Linked DNA regions of Lepisosteus oculatus. The protein of the gene in region 2 purifies or fractionates together with the protein of the main gene of each other region. This does not show direct contact. Links are inferred from orthologs where the notes say so. Each region holds a gene or a part of one and is shown on either strand. Other genes may lie near its edges. The genes, in order: pkmyt1 and ccnb2.

The links.
Region 1: the proteins of ccnb2 (region 2) and pkmyt1 purify together in Homo sapiens (affinity purification with mass spectrometry; 4 studies listed by BioGRID and IntAct, with this or other methods). This does not show direct contact. The link is inferred for Lepisosteus oculatus from reciprocal best matches to the Homo sapiens genes CCNB2 and PKMYT1.

What each region holds. Positions count from the first base shown.
Region 1 is NC_090699.1:1,215,749-1,226,517, reverse strand, and holds the start of pkmyt1 (membrane-associated tyrosine- and threonine-specific cdc2-inhibitory kinase), read left to right. Parts: upstream 1-6,171; coding exon 6,172-6,552; intron 6,553-10,769. UniProt on the Homo sapiens protein: Acts as a negative regulator of entry into mitosis (G2 to M transition) by phosphorylation of the CDK1 kinase specifically when CDK1 is complexed to cyclins. Mediates phosphorylation of CDK1 predominantly on 'Thr-14'. Also involved in Golgi fragmentation.
Region 2 is NC_090700.1:46,453,511-46,463,892, reverse strand, and holds the start of ccnb2 (G2/mitotic-specific cyclin-B2), read right to left. Parts: upstream 3,978-10,382; 5' UTR 3,863-3,977; coding exon 3,839-3,862; intron 3,527-3,838; coding exon 3,416-3,526; intron 2,621-3,415; coding exon 2,507-2,620; intron 1,840-2,506; coding exon 1,675-1,839; intron 1,470-1,674; coding exon 1,311-1,469; intron 1,217-1,310; coding exon 980-1,216; intron 870-979; coding exon 729-869; intron 482-728; coding exon 371-481; intron 218-370; coding exon 107-217; 3' UTR 1-106. Other genes in the region: rnf111 (E3 ubiquitin-protein ligase Arkadia), read right to left, coding at 9,797-9,914. UniProt on the Homo sapiens protein: Essential for the control of the cell cycle at the G2/M (mitosis) transition.

The DNA.
Region 1 (10,769 bases), on a different chromosome or scaffold from region 2:
GGGACAGACAGAGTGGCCCATCAGGAGGTGTGGAGTCAGGAGAGCTGTGTGAGAGGAGGAGCAGGAGGAGGGAGCAGGGGACAGACAGAGAGGCCCATCAGGAGGTGTGGAGTCAGGAGAGGAGAGGAGAGCTGTGTGAGAGGAGGAGCAGGAGGAGGGAGCAGGGGACAGACAGAGAGGCCCATCAGGAGGTGTGGAGTCAGGAGAGCTGTGTGAGAGGAGGAGCAGGAGGAGGGAGCAGGGGACAGACAGAGTGGCCCTCAGGGAGGTGTGGAGTCAGGAGAGGTGAGGAGAGCTGTGTGTGAGGAGGAGCAGGAGGAGGGAGCAGGGGACAGACAGAGTGGCCCATCAGGAGCTGCTCGGACCACAGAGCTGTCTCTGACGATCACGATGACTTAGCCCTCTGGCATCGCGGCTGCCCGACACAGCTCACAGCGAGCTGTGCCCCCGGCTGCTCGGCCACAGAGCTGTCTCTGACGATCACGATGACTTAGCCCTCTGGCATCGCGGCTGCCCCCCAGCAGGATGGGAAGGACAGCACGTCGCAGGTGAGGACTCGGGGCTCCGAGAGGTCACTCTCGTGGGCCAAGACCTCCGGAGGAAGACGGATAGTAAACTCCATCGTCAGTGGACGCCACGTGGATGAATAAACACGATCGCTGTCGGTATGAACACGCGTGGGGCGGCTGAGGGGCCCCTGGAGCAGGACACTGGGACTGGGGGCGATATTAGGGGGGAGATCCAGACTCCTGCTCGCTCCTCTCCGCAGGGCTGCAGGACAGAACTGGTCCAGTTGGGAATCACGACTCACGCAGACTCACGGGCCGGGCCGGACAGTGGTCAGAGTCCTGAACCCCGTCCGGCAGATGTGTGAGACACACAGACACACTGAGACACACAGGCACACTGAGACACACAGACACACTGAGACACACAGAGACACACAGAGACACACAGAGACACACAGAGACACACAGAGACAGAAACACACAGAAACACTGAGACAGACACTCAGACACAGACACACACTGACACACAGAAACACTGAGACAGACACACAGACACACTGAGACACAGACACACACCGAGACACACAGAAACACAGACACACACCGAGACACACAGAGACACACAGAAACACTCAGACACACACTGACACACTCAGACACTCAGACACACACTGACACACACTGACACACACTGACACTCAGACACTCAGACACTCAGACACTCAGACACACACAGACACACACTGACACACACAGACACTCAGACACTCAGACACTCAGACACTCAGACACACACTGACACACACTGACACACTCAGACACTCGGACACTCGGACACTCGGACACACTCGGACACACTCGGACACACAGGGAGCAGCTGTGCGGGCGGGGACTCGCTATTTCGCTGCTGCTGCGGTAGCAGAAGCGATGACACGGTGGCGGTGTGCGTGGGGAGGCAGTATTTGTCTTCCCCGGGGTACTTGCAGCTGGGATAAGGAGCCTGAGCACAGACACCAGACAGCGCGCCTGTGAATCTCTTCCTCCTGCAGAAGGCGCGGGGGCGGGGTCGACCCTCGCTCCGGGTCAAATCTCTCTTTATGGCAGCAAGGAGGCGGGTCCTGCAGCGCGCCCCTTCCTTATATGGCGGAACGGGGAGGAACCCTGGCGAGGAGGCGCGGCCTGTCCGGCATTGACGACGCGACTGCGTCATGAATATGCATAGAGGGCGGGGACTCGGGGCGGGTTGCGCGGTAACCGGGGGGAAAGTCGCGTGTTTTGGCGCCAGGAGCTGCGGTCGGTCCGGGTGACTGGTGGAGATACTGGGCCACCAGCGGGGTGACTGGTGGAGATACTGGCGGTGTTACCGCGAGTGCTGACTCGCTCCCAGCTCGGACTCTGTTGCACGCCGGAGTCCGGAGTTTCCTGCTCATGTTGACAGAGACGGCAGGTGAGAGATTACTGTGTGTGTGAGTGTGTTACTGTGTGTGTGTGTGTGAGTGTGTGAGTGAGTGTGTGTCGGAGTGTGTGAGTGAGAGATTTCAGAGAGGTTATATCGAGCTGTGTGTGTCAGTGTGTTACTGTGTGTGTGTGAGAGAGAGTGAGTGTGTGAGTGAGAGATTTCAGAGAGGTTATATCGAGCTGTGTGTGTCAGTGTGTGACTGTGTGTGTGTGTCAGTGTGTTACTGTGTTATTGTGTGTGTCGGAGTGTGTGAGTGACATTTCAGAGTGAGGTTATATCGAGCTGTGTGTGTGTCAGTGTGTTACTGTGTGTAGTAGTGTGTGTGTCGTACTGTGTGTGTCAGTAGGGAGAGTCTAAAGCTTTGAAGTCCAAAGAGTTATTAATGCAGAAATAATCCTGCTGGACTCTGAGTCCCCCTGTCCTGTGTCCTGTGTCTCCTGCTGGACTCTGAGTCCCCCTGTCCTGTGTCCTGTGTCTCCTGCTGTGCTCTGAGTCGTCCTGTTCTGTGTCCTGTGTCTCCTGCTGGGCTCCGAGACCCCCTGTCCTGTGTCTCCTGCTGCACTCTGAGTCCCCCTGTCCTGTGTCCTGTGTCTCCTGCTGGACTCTGAGTCCCCCTGTCCTGTGTCCTGTGTCTCCAGGATGGACTCTTGAGTCCCCCTGTCCTGTGTCTCCTGCTGCACTCTGAGTCGCCCTGTCCTGTGTCCTGTGTCTCCTGCTGTGCTCTGAGTCGTCCTGTTCTGTGTCCTGTGTCTCCTGCTGGGCTCCGAGGCCCCCTGTCCTGTGTCTCCTGCTGCACTCTGAGTCCCCCTGTCCTGTGTCCTGTGTCTTCTGCTGGGCTCCGAGTCCCCCTGTCCTGTGTCTCCTGCTGCACTCTGAGTCGCCCTGTTCTGTGTCCTGTGTCTCCTGCTGTGCTCTGAGTCGTCCTGTTCTGTGTCCTGTGTCTCCTGCTGGGCTCCGAGTCCCCCTGTCCTGTGTCTCCTGCTGCACTCTGAGTCCCCCTGTCCTGTGTCCTGTGTCTCCTGCTGGGCTCCGAGTCCCCCTCTCCTGTGTCTCCTGCTGCACTCTGAGTCACCCTGTTCTGTGTCCTGTGTCTCCTGCTGTGCTCTGAGTCCCCCTGTCCTGTGTCCTGTGTCTCCTGCTGGGCTCAGAGTCCCCCTGTCCTGTGTCTCCTGCTGTGCTCTGAGTCACCCTGTTCTGTGTCCTGTGTCTCCTGCTGTGCTCTGAGTCGTCCTGTTCTGTGTCCTGTGTCTCCTGCTGGGCTCCGAGTCCCCCTGTCCTGTGTCTCCTGCTGCACTCTGAGTCCCCCTGTCCTGTGTCCTGTGTCTCCTGCTGGGCTCCGAGTCCCCCTCTCCTGTGTCTCCTGCTGCACTCTGAGTCACCCTGTTCTGTGTCCTGTGTCTCCTGCTGTGCTCTGAGTCCCCCTGTCCTGTGTCCTGTGTCTCCTGCTGGGCTCAGAGTCCCCCTGTCCTGTGTCTCCTGCTGTGCTCTGAGTCACCCTGTTCTGTGTCCTGTGTCTCCTGCTGTGCTCTGAGTCCCCCTGTCCTGTGTCCTGTGTCTCCTGCTGGGCTCAGAGTCCCCCTGTCCTGTGTCTCCTGCTGCACTCTGAGTCGCCCTGTTCTGTGTCCTGTGTCTCCTGCTGTGCTCTGAGTCGTCCTGTTCTGTGTCCTGTGTCTCCTGCTGGGCTCCGAGTCCCCCTGTCCTGTGTCTCCTGCTGCACTCTGAGTCCCCCTGTCCTGTGTCCTGTGTCTCCTGCTGGACTCTGAGTCCCCCTGTCCTGTGTCCTGTGTCTCCTGCTGGACTCTGAGTCCCCCTGTCCTGTGTCCTGTGTCTCCAGGATGGACTCTTGAGTCCCCCTGTCCTGTGTCTCCTGCTGCACTCTGAGTCGCCCTGTTCTGTGTCCTGTGTCTCCTGCTGTGCTCTGAGTCGTCCTGTTCTGTGTCCTGTGTCTCCTGCTGGGCTCCGAGTCCCCCTGTCCTGTGTCTCCTGCTGCACTCTGAGTCCCCCTGTCCTGTGTCCTGTGTCTCCTGCTGGGCTCCGAGTCCCCCTCTCCTGTGTCTCCTGCTGCACTCTGAGTCACCCTGTTCTGTGTCCTGTGTCTCCTGCTGTGCTCTGAGTCCCCCTGTCCTGTGTCCTGTGTCTCCTGCTGGGCTCAGAGTCCCCCTGTCCTGTGTCTCCTGCTGTGCTCTGAGTCACCCTGTTCTGTGTCCTGTGTCTCCTGCTGTGCTCTGAGTCCCCCTGTCCTGTGTCCTGTGTCTCCTGCTGGGCTCAGAGTCCCCCTGTCCTGTGTCTCCTGCTGTGCTCTGAGTCGCCCTGTTCTGTGTCCTGTGTCTCCTGCTGTGCTCCTAGTCCCCCTGTCCTGTGTCTCCTGATGGACTCTGTGCTGTACACTGTCAGCTGGAAATTAGCTCATTTACAGAGGAGACCTCTGGCTCAGTGTGCCTGGATGGGTAGAGAGACTGCAGACCCTGCGCTGTGAGCTGTGACTTGTCCTCTGTCTCCGCAGGAGGCCTGGAGGCCCAGATGTCTGCTGTTCACTGTGAAGTCTCTCCCATCAGCCCTGCCAGAGTCTCTCTCCCATCAGCCTCCCTCCTCTGTCATAGTGTTATTATAGACTCTGTAATGCCTCTTGGCTGTATATATCAGGAATTTTGCGAACCTATGGAACAATACAGCTCTCTAGACCCCTGTATACTGCTGTAGAGACCTGCTCTATAAACACCTGAAGAACCGGAGTCTGCAGTCAGTCTGTCCCTCGCCTGCGCAGTCCCTGCAGTCAGTCTGTCCTGCCCTCGCCTGCGCAGTCCCTGCAGTCAGTCTGTCCTGCCCTCGCCTGCGCAGTCCCTTCAGTCAGTCTGTCCCTCGCCTGCGCAGTCCCTGCAGTCAGTCTGTCCTGCCCTCACCTGCGCAGTCCTGCAGTCAGTCTGTCCTGCCCTCACCTGCGCAGTCCCTGCAGTCAGTCTGTCCTGCCCTCACCTGCGCAGTCCCTGCAGTCAGTCTGTCCTGCCCTCGCCTGCGCAGTCCCTTCAGTCAGTCTGTCCCTCGCCTGCGCAGTCCCTGCAGTCAGTCTGTCCTGCCCTCACCTGCGCAGTCCTGCAGTCAGTCTGTCCTGCCCTCACCTGCGCAGTCCCTGCAGTCAGTCTGTCCTGCCCTCACCTGCGCAGTCCCTGCAGTCAGTCTGTCCTGCCCTCACCTGCGCAGTCCCTGCAGTCAGTCTGTCCTGCCCTCGCCTGCGCAGTCCCTTCAGTCAGTCTGTCCCTCGCCTGCGCAGTCCCTGCAGTCAGTCTGTCCTGCCCTCACCTGCGCAGTCCCTGCAGTCAGTCTGTCCTTCCCTCGCCTGCGCAGTCCCTGCAGTCAGTCTGTCCTGCCCTCGCCTGCGCAGTCCCTGCAGTCCTGTTGCTCGCCCCTGTGTCCTCGCCTGCGCAGTCCCTTCAGTCAGTCTGTCCTGCCCTCACCTGCGCAGTCCCTTCAGTCAGTCTGTCCCTCGCCTGCGCAGTCCCTGCAGTCAGTCTGTCCCTCGCCTGCGCAGTCCCTGCAGTCAGTCTGTCCTGCCCTCACCTGCGCAGTCCCTGCAGTCAGTCTGTCCTTCCCTCGCCTGCGCAGTCCCTGCAGTCAGTCTGTCCTGCCCTCACCTGCGCAGTCCCTGCAGTCAGTCTGTCCTGCCCTCGCCTGCGCAGTCCCTTCAGTCAGTCTGTCCCTCGCCTGCGCAGTCCCTGCAGTCAGTCTGTCCTGCCCTCACCTGCGCAGTCCCTGCAGTCAGTCTGTCCTTCCCTCGCCTGCGCAGTCCCTGCAGTCAGTCTGTCCTTCCCTCGCCTGCGCAGTCCCTGCAGTCAGTCTGTCCTGCCCTCGCCTGCGCAGTCCCTGCAGTCAGTCTGTCCTTCCCTCCCCTGCGCAGTCCCTGCAGTCAGTCTGTCCTGCCCTCCCCTGCGCAGTCCCTGCAGTCAGTCTGTCCCTCGCCTGCGCAGTCCCTGCTGTCAGTCTGTCCCTCGCCTGCGCAGTCCCTGCAGTCCTGTTGCTCGCCCCTGTGTCCTCGCCTGCGCAGTCCCTGCAGTCCTGTTGCTCGCCCCTGTGCCCTCGCCTGCGCAGTCCCTGCAGTCCTGTTGCTCGCCCCTGTGTCCTCGCCTGCGCAGTCCCTGCAGTCCTGTTGCTCGCCCCTGTGTCCTCGCCTGCGCAGTCCCTGCAGTCCTGTTGCTCGCCCCTGTGTCCATGCCGGTCCCGCGGGAGACGCAGCTGTCCTCCCCGCCTCTCCCTGTTCCTGCCTTCTTCAGCCAGGCGGAGCAGAGCTTCTCCCTGAAGAAGAGGCGCCCGCAGCCAGACTCCTCCTCCTCCTCCTCTTCCCCTCCGCCCCTGTCCCGCTCCCTGCCCCCCCGGCCCCCCTGCAAGGGCGCCCCCCCCCTCAGCCGGGTGTTCCCCCAGCGGGTGCCCTCCTGGAGCCACCCCCGCCCCCGGCCGGTGTCCCTGGCCCTGCTGCCCCCCCGCCAGCTGCCCTCCTCCCAGTACAACCCCAGCAGCCCCCAGTCCTACTTCCAGCAGTGCTTCTCCTGCCTGGGCCTGCTGGGCAGGGGCTCCTTCGGGGAGGTGTTCAAGGTGAGGGGGTACAGCCCTGAGGGGGTCAGAGGGGAGGTGTTCAAGGTGAGGGGGTACAGTCCTGAGGGGGTCAGAGGGGAGGTGTTCAAGGTGAGGGGGTTCAGTCCTGAGGGGGTCAGAGGGGAGGTGTTCAAGGTGAGGGGGTACAGTCCTGAGGGGCTCCTTCGGGGAGGTGTTCAAGGTGAGGGGGTACAGTCCTGAGGGGGTCAGAGGGGAGGTGTTCAAGGTGAGGGGGTACAGTCCTGAGGGGGTACAGTCCTGAGGGGGTCAGAGGGGAGGTGTTCAAGGTGAAGGGGGTACAGTCCTGAGGGGGTCAGAGGGGAGGTGTTCAAGGTGAGGGGGTACAGTCCTGAGGGGGTACAGTCCTGAGGGGGTCAGAGGGGAGGTGTTCAAGGTGAGGGGGTCAGAGGGGAGGTGTTCAAGGTGAGGGGGTACAGTCCTGAGGGGGTCAGAGGGGAGGTGTTCAAGGTGAGGGGGTACAGTCCTGAGGGGTACAGTCCTGAGGGGGTCAGAGGGGAGGTGTTCAAGGTGAGGGGGTACAGTCCTGAGGGGGTCAGAGGGGAGGTGTTCAAGGTGAGGGGGTACAGTCCTGAGGGGGTCAGAGGGGAGGTGTTCAAGGTGAGGGGGTACAGTCCTGAGGGGGTCAGAGGGGAGGTGTTCAAGGTGAGAGGGGGTACAGTCCTGAGGGGGTCAGAGGGGAGGTGTTCAAGGTGAGGGGGTACAGTCCTGAGGGGGTCAGAGGTGAGGTGTTCAAGGTGAGGGGGTACAGTCCTGAGGGGGTCAGAGGGGAGGTGTTCAAGGTGAGGGGGTACAGTCCTGAGGGGGTCAGAGGGGAGGTGTTCAAGGTGAGGGGGTACAGTCCTGAGGGGGTCAGAGGGGAGGTGTTCAAGGTGAGGGGGTACAGTCCTGAGGGGGTCAGAGGGGAGGTGTTCAAGGTGAGGGGGTACAGTCCTGAGGGGGTCAGAGGGGAGGTGTTCAAGGTGAGGGGGTACAGCCCTGAGGGGGTACAGTCCTGAGGGGGTCAGAGGGGAGGTGTTCAAGGTGAGGGGGTACAGTCCTGAGGGGGTCAGAGGGGAGGTGTTCAAGGTGAGAGGGGGTACAGTCCTGAGGGGCTCCTTCGGGGAGGTGTTCAAGGTGAGGGGGTACAGTCCTGAGGGGGTCAGAGGGGAGGTGTTCAAGGTGAGGGGGTACAGTCCTGAGGGGGTCAGAGGGGAGGTGTTCAAGGTGAGAGGGGGTACAGTCCTGAGGGGGTCAGAGGGGAGGTGTTCAAGGTGAGAGGGGGTACAGTCCTGAGGGGGTCAGAGGGGAGGTGTTCAAGGTGAGGGGGTACAGTCCTGAGGGGGTCAGAGGGGAGGTGTTCAAGGTGAGGGGGTACAGTCCTGAGGGGGTCAGAGGGGAGGTGTTCAAGGTGAGAGGGGGTACAGTCCTGAGGGGGTCAGAGCGGAGGTGTTCAAGGTGAGGGGGTACAGTCCTGAGGGGGTACAGTCCTGAGGGGGTCAGAGGGGAGGTGTTCAAGGTGAGGGGGTACAGTCCTGAGGGGGTCAGAGGGGAGGTGTTCAAGGTGAGGGGGTACAGTACTGAGGGGGTCAGAGGGGAGGTGTTCAAGGTGAGAGGGGGTACAGTCCTGAGGGGCTCCTTCGGGGAGGTGTTCAAGGTGAGGGGGTACAGTCCTGAGGGGGTCAGAGGGGAGGTGTTCAAGGTGAGGGGGTACAGTCCTGAGGGGGTCAGAGGGGAGGTGTTCAAGGTGAGAGGGGGTACAGCACTGAGGGGCTCCTTCGGGGAGGTGTTCAAGGTGAGGGGGTACAGTCCTGAGGGGGTCAGAGGGGAGGTGTTCAAGGTGAGGGGGTACAGTCCTGAGGGGGTCAGAGGGGAGGTGTTCAAGGTGAGGGGGTACAGTCCTGAGGGGGTCAGAGGGGAGGTGTTCAAGGTGAGAGGGGGTACAGTCCTGAGGGGGTCAGAGGGGAGGTGTTCAAGGTGAGGGGGTACAGTCCTGAGGGGCTCCTTCGGGGAGGTGTTCAAGGTGAGGGGGTACAGTCCTGAGGGGGTCAGAGGGGAGGTGTTCAAGGTGAGGGGGTACAGTCCTGAGGGGGTACAGTCCTGAGGGGGTCAGAGGGGAGGTGTTCAAGGTGAGAGGGGGTACAGTCCTGAGGGGGTCAGAGGGGAGGTGTTCAAGGTGAGGGGGTACAGTCCTGAGGGGGTCAGAGGGGAGGTGTTCAAGGTGAGGGGGTACAGTCCTGAGGGGGTCAGAGGGGAGGTGTTCAAGGTGAGGGGGTACAGTCCTGAGGGGGTCAGAGGGGAGGTGTTCAAGGTGAGAGGGGGTACAGCACTGAGGGGCTCCTTCGGGGAGGTGTTCAAGGTGAGGGGGTACAGTCCTGAGGGGGTCAGAGGGGAGGTGTTCAAGGTGAGGGGGTACAGTCCTGAGGGGGTCAGAGGGGAGGTGTTCAAGGTGAGGGGGTACAGTCCTGAGGGGGTCAGAGGGGAGGTGTTCAAGGTGAGAGGGGGTACAGTCCTGAGGGGGTCAGAGGGGAGGTGTTCAAGGTGAGGGGGTACAGTCCTGAGGGGCTCCTTCGGGGAGGTGTTCAAGGTGAGGGGGTACAGTCCTGAGGGGGTCAGAGGGGAGGTGTTCAAGGTGAGGGGGTACAGTCCTGAGGGGGTACAGTCCTGAGGGGGTCAGAGGGGAGGTGTTCAAGGTGAGGGGGTACAGTCCTGAGGGGGTCAGAGGGGAGGTGTTCAAGGTGAGGGGGTTCAGTCCTGAGGGGGTCAGAGGGGAGGTGTTCAAGGTGAGGGGGTTCAGTCCTGAGGGGGTCAGAGGGGAGGTGTTCAAGGTGAGGGGGTACAGTCCTGAGGGGGTCAGAGGGGAGGTGTTCAAGGTGAGGGGGTACAGTCCTGAGGGGGTACAGTCCTGAGGGGGTCAGAGGGGAGGTGTTCAAGGTGAGGGGGTACAGTCCTGAGGGGGTCAGAGGGGAGGTGTTCAAGGTGAGAGGGGGTACAGTCCTGAGGGGCTCCTTCGGGGAGGTGTTCAAGGTGAGGGGGTACAGTCCTGAGGGGGTCAGAGGGGAGGTGTTCAAGGTGAGGGGGTACAGTCCTGAGGGGGTCAGAGGGGAGGTGTTCAAGGTGAGAGGGGGTACAGTCCTGAGGGGGTCAGAGGGGAGGTGTTCAAGGTGAGGGGGTACAGTCCTGAGGGGGTCAGAGGGGAGGTGTTCAAGGTGAGGGGGTACAGTCCTGAGGGGGTCAGAGGGGAGGTGTTCAAGGTGAGGGGGTACAGTCCTGAGGGGGTACAGTCCTGAGGGGGTCAGAGGGGAGGTGTTCAAGGTGAGGGGGTACAGTCCTGAGGGGGTCAGAGGGGAGGTGTTCAAGGTGAGAGGGGGTACAGTCCTGAGGGGGTCAGAGGGGAGGTGTTCAAGGTGAGGGGGTACAGTCCTGAGGGGGTCAGAGGGGAGGTGTTCAAGGTGAGGGGGTACAGTACTGAGGGGGTCAGAGGGGAGGTGTTTAAGGTGAGAGGGGGTACAGTCCTGAGGGGGTCAGAGGGGAGGTGTTCAAGGTGAGGGGGTACAGTCCTGAGGGGGTCAGAGGGGAAGTGTTCAAGGTGAGGGGGTACAGTCCTGAGGGGGTCAGAGGGGAGGTGTTCAAGGTGAGAGGGGGTACAGTCCTGAGGGGGTCAGAGGGGAGGTGTTCAAGGTGAGAGGGGGTACAGTCCTGAGGGGGTCAGAGGGGAGGTGTTCAAGGTGAGAGGGGGTACAGTCCTGAGGGGGTCAGAGGGGAGGTGTTCAAGGTGAGGGGGTACAGTCCTGAGGGGGTCAGAGGGGAGGTGTTCAAGGTGAGGGGGTACAGTCCTGAGGGGCTCCTTCGGGGAGGTGTTCAAGGTGAGGGGGTACAGTCCTGAGGGGGTCAGAGGGGAGGTGTTCAAGGTGAGGGGGTACAGTCCTGAGGGGCTCCTTCGGGGAGGTGTTCAAGGTGAGGGGGTACAGTCCTGAGGGGGTCAGAGGGGAGGTGTTCAAGGTGAGGGGGTACAGTCCTGAGGGGTACAGTCCTGAGGGGGTCAGAGGGGAGGTGTTCAAGGTGAGGGGGTACAGTCCTGAGGGGGTCAGAGGGGAGGTGTTCAAGGTGAGGGGGTACAGCACTGAGGGGGTACAGTCCTGAGGGGGTCAGAGGGGAGGTGTTCAAGGTGAGGGGGTACAGTCCTGAGGGGGTCAGAGGGGAGGTGTTCAAGGTGAGGG
Region 2 (10,382 bases):
ATCCTGTAGGGAAAAAAAAAGTTAAAGATTGAAGCAGCACAAATCTTCCACAGGTTGGAGTTTAAAAAAAGTGCAACAAGTTCAGAAGTCCATAAGACAAGTAGTATTAAGAATTCTCCAACAGGGGTGCAGCCATGTCCTGGATGGTGGAGGACCGGAGCTGTGGAATGGTGCTTATCCTCAGCAGCTTGCTGCTGGCATATTTGTTCTTGATTGCCTGTACAGGAAAGAAGAAACCCAGCTCAGGGAGGAGTTCAGATCCTCGGGTATCAAGCCCACAATGTACTTAGTTTAGGTCTACGGTAACAATAGCATGAAGTGGAAAGTACATTAGAATCCTAGTTTGTGACAAGGATAGGACAGAACTTACAGTGTGCTTGGTAAGCCCATTGTTAAGCCTCACCACATTCTTGGCAAGGTGCTGCATAATGGTCTTGAGATTCTCTTCGGAATAACCAGCATAATGGCGCTGCGTTGTGGTCTGGAAGAGATACCTGCCGCTCTTAAGCATTGCCAAGAATCCAGAAGTGTATACAAGCCATTCATAGTTAGTGACAGAGGATCAAACATGCAGTTTTGTCACTGCATATCTGCTTTACAGATTAAGCAGAGCATGTATATTGGAAAGGATCTCACACTCTAGCACTTACATCACTCGGGGTTTGTGGAAGTAACCTTCATTTCCAATATTATAGTAGTGCGAATACAAAAGATTAACAAAAACATACCCAACTACTACCATCCAGCACAGTCTGGGAGAGGAAGAGTGCAGCAGCTGCCACTTCAGAAGGGTGGTAATGCACCATGTCATAATCCATCAGGGTCAGCTCCATGAAGTACTTGGCAAGAGTGTGTTTCTCTGCATCAGCCTTGGAAATGACAAAGCAGTTACACACTAGGAGGGAGAAATACAGCCAAAGAAGAAACGCATTGCACCGAGGAGGTTTGTGCATTTCAGGGACAAGTGGAAGGTAATTACATTGCCAGCCTTTGATGCCCTCCTTAGGAAGTGAAGGGGCAGAGGACGACCCAGTTCAAAATTCAGCTCTTTCAGGATCAGCATTTCCATTTGCCGGATCTGTGCTTTAGAGAAAGCATTATCCGTGATGTAGACAAAGTCCCCAATCTCTGGGGCGTACATTTCTTCATACTTGGCAGCAATTAACATAGCAGTAACGCCAACCAGCTGAAGCTTTTTCCTGGAGACAGGTTGTACCTTTAGGGGAAAAAAAGGGTTACATTTGAGGATACTCACTCAACACATTAGAATTTAGAAGGGCTGACCATCTTAGCAAAAAAAAGCTGCTTACTTGGAGAAATCGGTCAAGAATAGCAACAGTCATGTACAGAGTCTCCTGCAGCAGGTGAAACCTGCAGTGCACCTGAATGAGCCAGTCAACCAAGAGGGCCCGCATTCTTTCATTAATCTCACAGCCCTCAAGATACCTGGGGCGGATAGCCTGCTGGAGCTGCAGTAAAGAAAAAAAAGGAAAGATTAACTTATAAAGGCACTTGTGGGTCCTTTAGATACAGGATGCCCAGTCACTGAAGCACAGTTTCCCTGAAGGCCCAGTCATGCTTAGTTTCTCAGATCCAGCAAGAAAATGAGATGAATAGCCAACAAGCAGCAGTAATAAATTTGTGAATCAGGATTAACAAGGTTATAATTTTTACCTCAATTTGCTTTAAGTACACATAGATGTCCTTCACGTATTCAGAACACAGCTGGGGATGTTCACCATCCAAGGCATCAATGTCTTCTATATCCAACATAGCCTCAGAAAAAGCCTGGCACAGCTCTTCCTCTTTCATCGAGACGTCCATGCAAGAAGGAACAACCTGAAGGTGTGTTATTTAAAGCCAGTCATCAGCGCACTATGCAAGTCTTTCAGTAAGAAGAGCAGGCAGAGCCAGCACAGTGGCTATATTTGATCTTAGAACTACAGAGTTGTCTGAAGAATCCCCCCCCCCCCCAGTTTCAAAATAATGAGGCACTTTGAACTCCTATTAGGGAGTTTCTAGTACCATTTACTAGACACTACAAAACTTCACCATTCATGACAAACAGCAATGGTCTACATGCAGGTATATCCTGACCCAGCAGGGCTTGTACCCATGCAACAGTTCCTGCAAGGGCAGGATGACAGGGGATATGCCTTGTGCACCAGAGTGCAGGCAAGTGCATGTCAAAGCTCTTCAGGAAAATTGGCAGATCAGCCCAAGTGAATCACACTCAATCATAGAGAGAACTGTGTACATCTTGTATTGCTTACAATACATACACATTGGTAGCCTGTGACACTCAGTCAATTCCTCCCCCAACTGTGGATGTTTTGCAATCATACCAATGGTTCAGGTTTGTGGACTCACTTAAAAAAAAAAAGCTTCCCCAACAGAAGCTTGCAGCACTTCTAATCCACCTGTAGCCATAAGGGACTAGATGCTTGTAAAAGGTACAATGCAGTCATTTCTGTGACACAAGACATTAAACAACCCTGTCACTTACTGGGACTTCAGGCACCACTGGACCTGGTTTGGGCTGCACAGTCACTTCATCCTGCTGCTTAGGCTTCACTGGCTTTGACTGCTTGACCACATGGGACTTCAGGGTGTCATTTTTCTACAGTTCATAGAAAGGAGGGTTTGGAACAAAGCACTCTTCAAAACCAGCAACATAATGCTCAATAATACAAGAGTATTTTCATGGTACCTAATGCGACACCAAAACAAAAGTAAACCAGTTGCCCCACCCCCATCTAGCCCAAATAATCACAACTCCTGCCCAGCACACTTAAGGCTCTAAATTGGCAAAGCACCAACCTAAACAGAGTCCTCCCCCCCCCCCACACACACACTTCCATTTGAGCCATCTGGCCCTTCAGGACTACAGCTGTGCACCCCTGTCTTGAGCAAACACTCACAACACTGTGGAAGAAGCACTGGGCAGCAGTGGATAGGGCACAGATACACAAGATACTGCTTCTATACCCTTAGGGGAAATACTTCAGAGTTGTTCCATTGAGATACCCAGCTGTATATCAAGGGGTGCATATTAAAACTAAACACTAGATGAAACCGCCAGACAACGGCCACCCCAGCTTCAATTCACTCGGAAGAAGGGGTGAATATTGTAACGCAACGGGGGCTCAGGTGGGCGCCCTTGCCGCATTAGGCCGGCCCCATCCCGACTGAGGCTCGAACCCGGGACTCCTGCGTCTCTCTGCAGCGACCCAGCCCCGTGAGCTAAAGAGATCCCCCCACAGCCCAGTAGCTGTGGTCCTGCCATCACAGGGAAGGGCGGTGACATCTGCTCTTACACAGCGCCTGTCGGCCGTAAGCGTTACAATATGTTTTGAACTCGCTCCGGCAAATACAGATCCCAGCTCAGAACCCAAAAGCGCAGCTACAACAGTACCTTGACTGGGCCTCCCCTGGTAGAGAAGTTGGAGATCTCGCCTAGGACTGGCCGTTTCGTCCCAGCTGCAGTTTTACCCACTGGGACCGCGTTTTCGGCATTCCTGATATGCTGCTCGTAAAGAAAAGCAAGTCAGAACCCGGGAGTAGAGAACTCAGCACCGCACAAAAGCACGGAGGCGACGCTAAAGGTAACCTAAACTAATTAGATAAGGGTTATGTCTCAAACCTCTGAAAATGAGTACGTTACAATCTCAGTTTTACATTTAATAGTTAAGCTGCAAGACAACTAAACTGCTGGCTAATTGCATATTACAGATAAGAGCTTCATTTCTTCTCCTTCACGAAGAAGGACATTACAAGCTGCTGACCTAGGCTCTCCGGAAAACGTGGAATGCTGAAAGAACTAATAAATTGTACTTACAATTCCCCGGTTTACCAAAGCCATTCTGAAGAAAAACGTTAAATAAAAGAGCCTTTAAAAAAGAAGCTACAGCCGACGACCAACAAATGTACACCACAAACACTCCACTCGCCACTGCGCTTGTAGACTGTGCACCACTTCACCATTCAAATACCGCTCCGCGCGCTCCCATTGGGCAGGAGCTCACGAGGCGGATGGTTTCTATTGGCTGGCAAACGAGGGGCCTGAATGCGTTACCGCGGCAACCAAAAAATGAATTGTTTATGTTCCTAACATATTCTCCGCAATTAAATCAGATGATTCCTTTTTTGTTTTATGATGTATCAGCCGTTTTATTCACCAGTACCCCCCCGTTTAAGTAAAAGTAAAATAGAAAATCAAGCATGCGCCAACTTTTGTGCCCGGAGTTTAGCATTGAGTTCACAATGCACTCTGGGAATTGATGTTTTTTTTCTTGGGTAGCCTGATAACAATATACGAAATTTTATATTGATGTGTATGCGTGTTACCAAGATATTAAATATTAAACCAATGAGTGATTTCCGCAAATCGCCTCTTTTTTAGCAAACAAAAAGGGCTATGGAAATAATCACTACGTCTATCACCCAATTACTCATCTATATTATGTACAATTACCTCTACCCTGTTACATCTTGTTTTCTGGAAGTGTTCGTGTAATGTATTCTGGTTCCTTTACTCGTCCTCTTGTGTCCGAGTAGTCTGTAGAGCCTTCTTGGTCCGTTTCGTTTTACTAGGCGCAGAGTTCTGGTTGCTGTTCCAGTCTGTGATGGATTTTAGTTGATTTCGCCAGTCGTCTATACAGATCGATAATATTTATTTTATTATTCTGCAATTTCCCTCACAGGATCAATAAAGTATCTATCTATTATTAGTATTGAGGTGAAGGTAAGAGGTGTAGTAGGGAGCCACGGATGGGTCTCATAAGCCAATATTATAAAACACTGCTGTCATGTCAATGGTCAATAATAATAATTGCTTACACTTATATAGTGCTTTTCTGGACACTTCACTCAAATCGCTTTACAGGTAATGGGAACTCCCCTTCTCCACCACCAATGTGTAGCCCCACTAAGATGATGCAATGGCAGCCATAGTGCACCAGTACACTCACCACACATCAGCTATCAGTGGGGAGGAGAACAGAGTGATGAAGCCAATTCATAGATGGGGATTATTAGGAGGCCATGATCGGTAAGCGCCAATATGTTATTATTATATTATACATTATAATGTGTTATATTAAGGGTCAAGATGCCAGGGTTACACCCCTACCGTTTTTGAGAAACACCCTGGGATTTTTAACGACCACAGAGTAAGGACCTCAGTTTTACGTCTCATCCGAAGGACGGCACCGCTATACTGGGGCATTAGGACCCACATAGATCAGAGTGAGCGCCCTCTCGTGGCCCCACTAATACTTCTTCCTGCAGCAACATTAGCTTTTTCCCAGGAGGTCTCCCATCCAGGTACTGGCCAGGCTCACATCTGCTGAGCTCCAGTGGGCTGCTAGTTGTGAGTTGCAGGGTGACATGGCAGCTGGCAATGCAATGGCAATATATTAAAGGTGCTTTTGACTGATCTGAGATTCAGGCACTGACCCTTATAACCAAATGAGTGATACATGTTGGATTTATTGGCAAAAGACATACAAACGAACAGATGGAAAAAGCATACATTACATGTTTAAGTTTCACACCAACAACAATTACAGTGAAAAATGGATGGACGATAATGTTTTTTTTCACATTACGGCACTGTCTGGCTGCAGTTCCCAACCACTTTTAAATTATTGTAACACCTGAGAATGACCTGCCTTTAAGAGTCAAAGCTTTGCTTCAGGCCAGTTAAATCTCAGTGCGTGTAAAATTAAAGGGATAGATCGTTCTCCATATTGTCCCTTAAATACATGGGGCAATGAATTTGGCTTTTCTTATTAAAGCAGAACTGGAATTTGACAATTTGCTGTGAAGTATGTTAACTACCCCACCTCCTCTTATGTGAACTCATTCCTATAAACTGTATCATGGGGAAATGTGTAGATTTATCACTATTGCAGAAGCAGTACTATCATCAACTAGTTGGTGATATAAATAAAAAGGTGTCAAATGGATTAGAGAAATGCTTAGGAAAGAGTATAAGAATAAGGACCCAAACACGGGCCTCAGAAGTGCATCTTCTCTTTTTATACAGGGTCAGTTGTTTCACACAAGTATTTGAATATAGCCAAAGTATATATAGTTACTTTTCATACTAGTTATGTCCAATTCTTAATTCTATAGGAATTCTTAGAAGATTATTAGGTATAATGTGTGGGCAAAGCGACCCAGTTGCTAAGGTCAAGAGTTTGTGAGCAGGTAAATTCCTGGATCAAATCCTGGGCATGCCACAGACTCAGTATTATCTGTGAAATTCGGAGCAATGAGTTACTAACATGCTGTTGTTAATAGAAAAGACTGAGGAAAGCTGACTCATTTATAATCCTTAGAGGTAGGGAATGTCATTAACTCAACACAGGGCTTCAGAACCTCCAGGGAATCATAAACCAGAGCAAACATTAGGTTTTAAATACACAGAAGTGCATTTAAAATGAAGAACAAGACACTTTTACAGCTTTGAGTCCACAACAAGTTATCAAGCCATATTGCATGAACTGGCTTTCTTCAGGCAGTGGCTGGAAAAGATCCTCAGATCACTACCAAATGAGTAGGTGGGCTGAAAGTCCTTCTTCTGCTTTGAACCTTCTTACGCTCTAGGATAGTTTGAACAGAAGACCTCTGTAATGGCAGAAAAACATGGGAGAATGGATTCCCTCCTTTGTAGTAATGCTTGTTTAGTTACTACTTATTGGCTCTATCTCCTCTAGCTTTCGCTCGAAGCATCCTGGACAATCTGGTTCAGCAGCATAGGATTATTCTCTGAATTTAAAAAATCTTTTAACAATGTCCTCTAACCTCAGTTCTGCATTTCCCTATTTTATCCTACACTGTCTGACTTTTACTACTCCCTCTCATGATTTTACTTCTTCTTCTTTCCGGTAATAGTTTCCTCCAGATTTAGTTTTTCTATAGCATTGCAGCACTGGTCCGTTCTTTAAGGCCAGAATTTCAGCATGGAATAATCTTCTACTTGTTCCCTTGCAGTTTAAAAGAGAAGAAAAGCAGAACAATGTTTCGGCTGTGGAGCCTTCTTCAGCTGTGCGATTTAAACTGGTTTAGTTTCTTTAGCTGGATCCAACAGCAACCATATCTTCTGCAACATAGCAACTCACATTGTTCATAATTTGGTCATGTATAACCACAATTTAGATCCAGCTACACTAACCACTATATATAAAGTGGCCAACCCTGGTCCTGGAGTGCCAGAATACAAGTTTTTTCAGAACAGGCACTCCTTGATTTCCAAGCACTTGGGGCTGAACAATTCCTTTTGATCACGATTTTGAGGGCACTGTATTTGCTCAGTTAAGTATGCTCACAGATCACTTGAAATGAAAGTGCCAACATCCTGTAGCTCTCAAGTACCAGGGTTGGTCATTAAATGAAGCAATTTACTGAAGATGTTAAAAGTTACAAATCTTTCAGGATGGTAAGAGCTCTTACAAGATATTTAAATGTTTTTTTTTTTACTTTTAATTTAGAAAAATGAGTTTGTTTTCTACTTAAAAACTAACCTGTAAAAAAAGTGCTATAAAATTATCAATACAGACCTATACCTCTTATGCACCTACTTTAGTATTGGTACATTCATTCACATTTCTACCATTTTAAGATAATCAAGAACCTCTTTAGCAGTACAAAATACTAAATAATGACATTGTGCTTCGTACATTAGCTCTTCAGTTGAGGTATCTGCATGGTATAGGATGCATATAAGATACAATATAGGATAGCCTCATATTCCAAATTTGTATCTTCAGTAGCTTTTGATTAACATATTCTCTAACAAAATGTGGGAGAACAATATGATTTGCATCTTGTTTCCTTTTCCACCTAGTTCTTTATTACACAAAGCACAGATAATCTGCAAAACAAGGGCTTATTAGAACCACTTGAAAACACTGAATTTAACCTTCATTAAGTAGGCAAGGGACATAAAACCACAAAAAACCTATAAGTATATAACCATTATATATCATATTAGCACTGTTGGAAATTATATAAATAGGTGTAATCCAGATTGAGCAAATTTCTTCAAAAAATGAAATGGTGTAGATAATTCAAAAAGGTTTCTATACTCCATTTACTCCACATTAGCATAATGGAAACATTTAAAAACATTAGAACTGCAAAACCTTTTTCCTCAATTACAGTTTCATCTGAAATAACCATTTATTGTATTCATGTTAGATTTGCCCACAAAACATACATCATTGAAACTACTGAAAGACTGTAAGCCAGCATGTTTCAAGGCCCAAGCGCCTGTACAATACAGTGTGCGACTCCCCTGTTGTTCAGATTGTATGGTTTCAGAATATGTATAAAATACTGAACAAAACATTGTTGAAGAGACACAAAGACAAGAGGGGAAAGAGTTACCTAACTTTATTTTTTTAAAACTAATATAAATCCCTCGGAAATGCTTCCTAGGGCCATTATAGTCTATGAATGCATGGATACCTGCCATTAGTACTGCATTCCAACACTCCATTCAAAATGTTACAATTTTCAAAATTCAGCAATCAGAGCGGAAATACATTACCTAGACACTTTGCTTTCACAGGACTCCTGTCTTATGTCTTTCACCATTGATGTGCAAGTATATGCAATTTAGCTAGTTGAGGAAAACCATTAGTGTTAAGTTCTTCATGGCAGCAAAGGAATTTGTTGCAATGTTACAGAGATGAAGTAAAAATCAACAATAACCCAGTTAAAAAAATACAATCTCTGTTGGCCTGCTGCGTTCCATGGAGCTGTGTCGCTCAGTTTGTCCACCCCCCCCGCCCCCAACACAGACAGACAGATGAATGAGACAGGCCAAACTAGGGTTCCATTTAACAATTTATCACCAGTCTGTGGAAAACTGGCTCAACAGACCCCTTTCACATTTGAAGTCAAAACGCCAATTCCCAAGGTCCGTCCATTCAGACTTGTGAATACAAACAGAAGTGTACAATCTGCTGGCAATGGCCAACCTCGCCACTCAACAGGGCACTTCACTGTGTGTAAAACTGTTTACGACGTGCCTTAAAAGGTCTAACTGTGAAAAAAACAGTCAAAATACAGTGACATTCATTTTTCTCCAATGCAATAAGGAAGTGCAGAAGGTGAACATTGAAAGGTGAGCGAAGAAAGGAAAAGGCTTCTGTATGCATTTCCTAATTATAAGTGATGCATTTTCAGATTGTTCCCACTAGATGGACACCGCATGATGTTGTACACAGACTTTTATACAGCAGCTGTTTGTTTTTCCCTAATTAAGGAATGTTTTGCTTTACATTTTTTCCTTTACTAGCTGTTCACAATTTCTATACATAAACTAATTATATCATGATCAGTTAAATTAATCCTGCAATGTTAGTAATGGAGAATGACATTCTATTCCAGTAAAGCAAGGCATTGTGTAAAAAAACAAAACAAAATCAAATTAAATGCTACTTTACTAGAGCAGCTATTCTTGCCTGCAAGTCTTTAGGGTGTGAAGCCCATTTCATTACATGTGCAAAGAAATGCATTACAAGGAACCATGCAAAAATAAAATGACACTGAAGAAAACAATTGAAAGCTACAAAAAAAGCTTCATAAATACAATAAAATTTAAAATCTATACTGAAGATGTATTTTTAGCAGTATCTGTACTATGGGACATAGCTGGCACTCTAGGTTTCAATGCTGTTTTGTATTTGAACCCACGCAGGTAATTCATGCCATCTTTGGTTGACTGCAGTACTGAAGAAAAACAAAATAAAAAAGATAAAATAAAAAGTAATTGAAAACAGCATCAACTTTCAGCAGACAGCTGGGCCTCTATATCCACTCTGCAGATTGGACATTTCTTGTTAGTGGTGAGCCACTGGTCAACACACAGTTGGTGGAAAAGATGCATACAGGGAAGACGTCTGAAAGAACAAGAAGAAAGCAAGCGCATGAGAAGTGCAGTCCCACAACAGCATCTGACCATATAGGTCCCCAATCACCCTATGGGTACACTGATAATTTCTCCACAAATGGACAGGAAGAAAATCTCATTGGGAAAATTAAAATGTATCCTGGAATGCATAGCCTTAAATAGTATTTCATAATAGGGTACAATGAGAGCCCCATCTAAAGGAAAAACCTATGCTGAAATACAAGGTGTAATTTCACACTAATACACCAGGGGGCAGAAGGACGTGCACAGGAACAGTGGGAAGGAAAACTGTAATGAGCAATCACTACCAATCTGGTACTGATGTCACTTACAGATTCTCAGTGTTTCTTTTCTCTACGCTAAGAGGCATTTAAAGTGCAACAAATGAACGCTGGGACAAAACTGCATTTGTTGTGTTTTTATATGCTGCTAACATTTCAAGCAATATTAGATTAAC